Linked DNA regions of Arabidopsis thaliana. The protein of the gene in region 2 purifies or fractionates together with the protein of the main gene of each other region. This does not show direct contact. Each region holds a gene or a part of one and is shown on either strand. Other genes may lie near its edges.

Region 1 (3,756 bases), on a different chromosome or scaffold from region 2:
ATGAAAACAATGTACTTTGTTTTACTCATCTACTGTCAGAAATGGAGAATGCGCAAAGAAGAAAATAGATCACAACGAAAACTTGTCAATGATTCAAACATCTTGGTAACCCAAAATACAGAACTAGTAGTGCATCTGGATATCTCTCTCTCTTGTTTGGTTTTACAGTGTTCTCTAAAGCATTAATGACAGAACCAAGAAAGGCGGCTTTCACCTGGATATCACAGAAAGACTATCCCAGAATCAAAGCTTACATGTTGAGCGTAAAATCAATCATCTCCTCACAGGTGGTACCGCTCCCCTTCCTCCAGTTCCACGCCCGGGCCCGGCAGCCGGCTTTAAGATAATATCACAAAGATTCAAGAATCTAACCATTAGTAGTGACAAAGAAGAAACAAACCATTAAGGGATAACAAGGATTTGAACATCTTAACAAGTTCCATAAAACTTCCTAACATTGCATTCATGAGCACTAAATCATAAGAGAGAGAGGGTGAACTTACTTTCCCTCGCATTGCACCTCTACCTCTGCCAACACCCAGTGATGAGCTCTTTCCCTACATTGATTAAGCAAGTAAGGTAAGATGTTTGTTGGAGATATGTATAGAGATCCTAATATCATTCTGCATCCAGGGTTCAAAAAGCATATATACCTTGATTCTAGCATCTAACCGCTTGAACATTGGAGCATGTTTGAGAATGTCTGGTATGACCATAAACCTGTCAAGATATATCCGCAGGTCAATTACTAAACAGCTAGGGTTAACAAGAATGATCCCATGAATTACATAAACAAGGAAACAAGTACAGCACCTGACTTTACTGCCTCGAATGAAGACATGCTCAAGCTGTGATACCTTACCATCCTGTAACACAGCATTGGAAAACCCAAAACAAAAGTTCAGTGACAATTAACAAACAAACCCATTAAGTTGACAGATTATTTATGTATACTATGAAGAATAACACTTAAAGAGTTAAGACTTTCTGAATTGAGAACTACATGTAGTTCTTTTCCCAATAATTACAGGTTGACTCAAAACCCATACGGCACAATAATCCGCAAATAAGAGGACGCTTTAAGACCTGCATACTTCAGATAATTCACATTTGACCACTGTATTCCTAAAGAGCAACTTAGGCTTTGGATAAAACGTTACAAAGCACAAACGTAGAACCTTTCTTCTCAGTTATTGATGTGTCCTATAGATCAATAATAAGTTTAACCAATCAGAGGAGACTATACCCTACAGTCAAAATTTATCTAATGTCACTGGCAGGATCACGCATTCTAGGGTTTTATACAGCATGAATTTCAAGGATTCTTAATCTCACTTAGAACTTAAAATAAGAAGCAATCTAAAATTTCCCAGCAAATTTGCCCAGCTCACCAAATCTAGGGTTTTAACAGCACTAACATCAAACAATGAAATTGAAACGAAACCTATGGTTCAAAAAACAGTCTCATATAAAATGAATCGAGATCTTCAGAGTATCAGTTGATTACCTTGGCGGTATAAGTAATATCCTCGAGCTGACAGTTCCAGTTATCCTCACACTCAATCATACTTCCTCTGTAAAGCTCGCCGCTCTTTAGCTCCACCGTCACGATATGACCTGAGGCCTCGTGAAGAAGCTTCACCGGTATTCCCAAACTTCGGCTCATCTTTCTCTCTACAAAACCCTAATTGAAAACCTTCTCCTTTAACTCTGCAACCTAGAAAGAAAAAAATGGCGGAAGGAAAGAAGAGCGACTCAGATGCGATTGACGAGTTTACCTCTTTTAAAGCTTTCCTGATTTATTTTTGGGCTTTATATAGGCCCATATTTATATTAGGCCCAATTTGAGAAACTTGCTTTTTAGTCCCTATATTTGACATTATTTTAATCCTTATTTTTGTACAGACGACGGCTGATTTCACGGGTTAAGACGAAGGAACCACCGTTACCAAAACTCGCCGGAAGAGATGGCGGACGAGATGGAGACCAAAGGAGAGAAGAAGTACAAGTATAGCATAATCATTCCTACCTACAACGAGCGCCTCAACATCGCTATCATAGTCTACCTGATTTTCAAGCATCTCCGGTAAATGAATATTTATTTCTTTTGGTCTTTTCACGTTCATTCTTTCATTTCAGAATCGGAATTACGTTTTTTGTTATTCTTTTACTGAATACTCGAACCTGATCGCCAATTTCAAGTTACGGATCTCGGAAATTTTCCGATCATGTTTCTGTAGATTGCAGATCCTAATTCGTGATTTGTTGTTTCTGTGCATGAGCTAGTAAAGGCCAATGTAGTGATCCCTCAAACTATATAGTAGTAGTTTCATGGTGTTTTAAAAACTTTGATTTAGTGATCGGAGAATAGTCAGAAGCTACATGTGCTAATCTTAGATCGATTCTGGTTATGGCTGCTTATATGAAATTAATATAGAATTGCACTTGTTAAGTAGACTCTTTGTTAACTGTTACTGAGAATTTGCTTCGCTACTTGTTTGTATGATTTAGGGACGTTGATTTTGAGATAATTGTTGTGGATGATGGGAGTCCTGATGGCACACAGGAAATTGTCAAGCAACTGCAGCAATTGTATGGTGAAGACCGTATCGTGAGTACAATGATGTGTTAAGACCTTAATTTGTAAATTATTGGGCGTTCTTCTGTTTAGGTGAAATCATGTTTTTATCTTTTTTATGATGCAGCTTTTAAGAGCTAGAGCCAAGAAGCTTGGTTTGGGTATGTAATTTGTATCTTCATTGTCTTCTAGTTTTGGTTAACAAGAAATGAAATTAATTTTCTTGGCATGGTCAATCTCAGGAACTGCATATATTCATGGTTTGAAGCATGCTACGGGTGATTTCGTCGTGATCATGGATGCTGATCTTTCACATCATGTAAGAGCCATTAATTTAGTTTTCTTGTTTACCTGTTTAATTGTTTAGCTAACCCAGTCACTTTTCTTCTGTGCAGCCAAAATACTTACCAAGTTTCATCAAGTAAGAAAAAGAAGAGTCTCTTGATCTCTTACTAGTTTCACAACCTATAGTGACTTCAACTGATTTGTTTTTTTTCTTATTATCATAAAGGAAACAACTAGAGACAAATGCAAGTATAGTAACTGGTACACGATATGTAAAAGGTGGTGGTGTACACGGGTGGAATCTTATGCGGAAACTCACTAGTAGAGGAGCAAATGTGCTAGCTCAAACACTTTTATGGCCTGGTGTATCTGATTTAACAGGATCATTCCGGTATAATTCAAATAACATATGCGCATATTTTTAACTGACATCATTTGATAGTATCATGTCTGACCTCCGCACCTCTTTGTTTGGAAGGCTATACAAGAAATCGGCGCTTGAAGACGTGATTAGCTCATGTGTGAGTAAAGGGTATGTCTTTCAGATGGAAATGATTGTTCGTGCAACCAGAAAAGGATACCATATTGAAGAGGTCTCTCTTTTTATACCAATTCACTGTGATTTTGATTCTTTCTAAACTATATTTCCATTCATATTCTTGATTCTCTGGTGCTCATCTTCATCTGCAGGTACCGATCACTTTTGTTGACAGAGTCTTTGGAACTTCGAAACTCGGAGGATCTGAAATAGTGGAATATCTAAAAGGCCTCGTCTATCTCCTGCTTACAACTTAAGACACACCAAGCAACTCAACAACACACGAGTCTCTCTTTATACTCTTCATTTGTTCCATTGCTTCATAGATTTCTCTTAACAGTTGAACTCTGATCAT
Region 2 (3,756 bases):
CATAACCAGCAACATAGCCTAATATATGTTGAGAACCGAATTGCCAGTCAAAACCATTGAGAGCCTCTTTTACAAGTAATACATTCAAGTTCATGGAGCAAGGTTGTAACTCCTACAAGTTCACTATTTCTAAAATCAGTTGCTTTTTCCACGAGAAATCACCAATATGAACTCATCAATTCTCTGAGCTTCACGGAGAAAAACGCTACGACTAGCCGAGGGGTAACTCAATCATGTGGATGTTGCTTTCGTTGTAGATGAAGTGACTCCTACAATCCAGATCGAGAAAATTGTACTTAGCAGATCTTTCTAACAGAGATATTAAAAAAAAAAAATCATCCAATATCATATGCCAACAGAGAGCAAGGGCAAAAAGATGTATCCACAAGTTCTTCCAATATAGCTAATGAACCCTACAACATCTACAGCTTTCCAAAACAAAATTCACGAACAAACCTTAAACAAGGATCATAAAGGTTCTACTAGTTGGGAAGATATTAAACACGTTTAAAAGTGAACTGAGAAGTTCATCATGAGTTATTCATGCTTCTAAAAGTGTAATAAGGGTTTTTCAAACTCATTAGAACAACAGGCAAGAGAGTTTCTGAGTGTAAGTTACAGGATTCACAATGTGATGATTCTAGAATGCTTTATAGTAACAAACCTTTTAAAGTGATCATACTCTTAAGGAAACATAAGAAGAAAAGCAACTGACAACAAAGCACTCATCAACAACCTAGAAACTGTGCAAGCTAAGACAGTCATGAGCAGACTACTACTCACAACACATGCCCAAGCTAATCAAGACAAGTTCAATTCCACACAAATCACACATGGCCAAGCAGACTAGAAATTGCTGATAAATTATAAAGGCTAATTAAGTAGAATTTCTGTGTAAGTTATCAGTTCAAGTTACAAGAAAGTTTTTGTGTAAGTTAAAGGTTTCACAAATAAACTATCAGCAGACTAGTAGAGACTGCAGCTAACTTATGATTTATAAACTTCAGTCACTACACAAGTCCAAGCTAAATCAAAATAAGTTCAATTTCAACCAAATCTCACATCATAGCCAAGCTACACTTACAAGCAACCATCAGCAGATAATAAAGGATAATCAAGTAGTGTTCCAAAACTTGATAAACAGCTACCTAATCAATGTTGCTGATTATGGTGATTTGGCGGAGCAGGTGGCATGCCAGGATGAGGCGGAGCAAACATCGGAGCACCACCGGGGGGAGGCATTCCAGGGCGAGAAGGAGGCGGTCCTTGCATACCATGAGGTGGAGGAGGTCCTCTCATCATACCACCAGGTGGAGGAATCATCATTGGCCTTTGCTGTCCACCATACTGAGGCGGTGGTGGACCAGGATACGGTGGTCTCATACCATAAGGTGGAGGAGGACCTCCTTGACCAGCAAAAGGAGGCTGTGGTGGCATTTGTCCCGGAGGACGAATAATCTGTGGTGGTCTAGAGATCTGAGGCTGCATCATTCCAGGAGCAGGTCCACCAATTCCACGAACAGGACCAGATAAACCAGGCTGAGCTTGAACCAATGGACCAGTAGGTACTCCACGTCCAGCAGCACGACCGATTCCGGGACCAGCCACAGCGGTTACAGATCCAGATTTGGCGCGAGATTCTTCAGGTGGCGGTGGACCTTCGACAGTCATCGAAATCACTTCTTCTCCTCTAAGTAAAACCAAACCAAGCGTACGACGCTCTTCTCTTTCTTCGTTCGTCTTCTTATTACCTTTCGCCGGAGGAAGTTTTCGAAACTCTTCGCAGTCGCCAAGAACAAGATTCATGTGGCGATCGAACGCCATGAATTTTCCGATTAGCTGTCTTCCGTCTTGGATTGTTACTCGCATCCTGTAGTTTATGAACTGAAGCATCTTGGAGCTCTTCGACATCGACATTTTTGCCGGCGACTTGTATACGCCGGAGAATTAAGCGAAGAGTTTTGGCAGTGGAATTGGGGAAGAGGGGGAATTTCTACGGTTTTATTCGAGAAAGAATGAATGACACTTTCCTTCTTGTTGGGCTTTGTTTCAATTTGGGCCTAGTTAGAATGGGTTAGGCTATACATAACATAGGTGTATTGCCTTTTTTTTTTTTTCACCATTTGTCAAATTAATTTATATAGTATAGTTTTGTAAATTTATTATTATTCATTGAAAAAACTTTAATGATTTCTTTTTGTCTAAGAGCGAAAAAATTATTATTATTCTCTTTAAACTTTTATTAAATCGTTGAATCTCCGAGATATTGTACATAGAGTATTGTCTTTAGATTCAAGAGACCATTTTTGCTGTAGAATAAAAAAAAAGGGAGAAACGAACAAAAGATCTACCAACACCGAAGGATTAATATTAACTGGATTTATTGGATTAAACTCTGAATTATTTCGGTTATACATATATCATCTCCTCTCATCGATAGTAAAGTAATAAATATTTCTCATAGAGGTGTGTGGCTGTGGACTATCTTTTAATTTTAGAAACTGCTCACTCAATCAAAATAAGAAACTGCCTGTTATTAAATTACCTAATAAAGATTTGAAAAACGTTTCATAAAGACAAATTCAATTAGTACCACCATAGTTCATTTCTTCCCCTATAAATAAATTTGATCTTAGTATTGTTTATCACTCAACAACAAACACGAGAAAGAATTATATATTGGAATATTTCAAACATTTTTTTTTTTTATTATGGCTATAAAAAACGTGATCTTATTTCTAGCGGTTTTATGCATTGCATTGTCTGTAAATGCCCAATTACCACAATTTCCGGCACTTTTTCCTTTTCCATTTCCATTTCTACCGAGTCCCGGTGTACCAGGATTACCTGATATAACAAAATGTTTATCATCTGTGATAAATATTCCAGGGTGCATCGTAGAGTTTTCGCAATCCATACTCTTAGAAAAGTTCGGCAAGATAGGTTCAGCTTGTTGCAAAGCAATTTTGGAAGCCGAAACCAATTGTATTCCGCAACTTCCGTTCAATCCGTTTTTTCCTCCTATGCTAAAGGAACAATGTTCAAAAACTGTTGGCGGAGCCTCCTACTAAAAATTAGAACTTAGAAACCAATAATGTTAACCTTTGCTTTCTTTTTTTTCTTTTTTTTTTCTTTTACTTTGTTTAAGTTGGAAAATACGATTAGGTTTCCGATTTGTATCAAAATTTTTCAACGATATAATAACATCATTAATAACTGGTCACTTTTTCCTCATTTTTACTTAACAGTTGTCTATAACATTTTTAACTAAATTGCACATTTGGATTAGTATGTTTTTCACATCTCATATCTTGGTTGTTTTTGATTCCTATAAATGATTTACGAAGGAGCTATGCACTAACCAGTGACCTCTCATATAAAAAATTCAATACTAAATATTATGAAAAAACCTATGTTGATCGATGCTAATCTAATCGGCCAATGCGCTCACAAAAGAATGCATTGGCTTGTTACACCTAGATGGCTGCAATAGCAACATCAAAGCCAACAGAAAGAGAGTGTCCGCTCGGACGGCCATATGGACATGGTCATGACCAAATGACAGCCCTACTCATAGATTACCTCCCAGATGGTTCTAACAGATAGGCGTCATCCGCTGCCAAACTACACCTCTCATTTTCCCCACCGCAAGACCCGGCTGGAGAACCAAACCACTTGAGGCAGAATCACAATCTTTGAATCTTCCAAATTATTAGTCACCTTTTACTTTAAATAAAAATTTCACTCATAACATCA

Evidence for each region. The genes of interacting proteins can lie anywhere in the genome.
Region 1: the proteins of AT5G44500 (region 2) and AT1G20580 fractionate together in Arabidopsis thaliana (co-fractionation; one large-scale study listed by BioGRID). This does not show direct contact.

Annotation. Positions count from the first base shown.
Region 1 is NC_003070.9:7,126,889-7,130,644, reverse strand, and holds the start of AT1G20580 (Small nuclear ribonucleoprotein family protein), read right to left. Parts: upstream 1,779-3,756; 5' UTR 1,667-1,778; coding exon 1,508-1,666; intron 867-1,507; coding exon 814-866; intron 721-813; coding exon 654-720; intron 558-653; coding exon 504-557; intron 337-503; coding exon 274-336; 3' UTR 1-273. Other genes in the region: DPMS1 (Nucleotide-diphospho-sugar transferases superfamily protein), read left to right, coding at 1,968-2,086, 2,512-2,611, 2,706-2,739, 2,821-2,897, 2,974-2,999, 3,090-3,254, 3,342-3,456, 3,554-3,658. UniProt on the Arabidopsis thaliana protein: Core component of the spliceosomal U1, U2, U4 and U5 small nuclear ribonucleoproteins (snRNPs), the building blocks of the spliceosome. May play a major role in the splicing of cellular pre-mRNAs. Required for normal plant development.
Region 2 is NC_003076.8:17,925,666-17,929,421, reverse strand, and holds the start of AT5G44500 (Small nuclear ribonucleoprotein family protein), read right to left. Parts: upstream 1,976-3,756; 5' UTR 1,918-1,975; coding exon 1,153-1,917; 3' UTR 1,149-1,152; exon of another isoform or gene 270-1,148; 3' UTR 1-269. Other genes in the region: AT5G44495 (ECA1 gametogenesis related family protein), read left to right, coding at 2,712-3,071; AT5G44490 (FBD, F-box, Skp2-like and Leucine Rich Repeat domains containing protein), read right to left, coding at 3,579-3,658.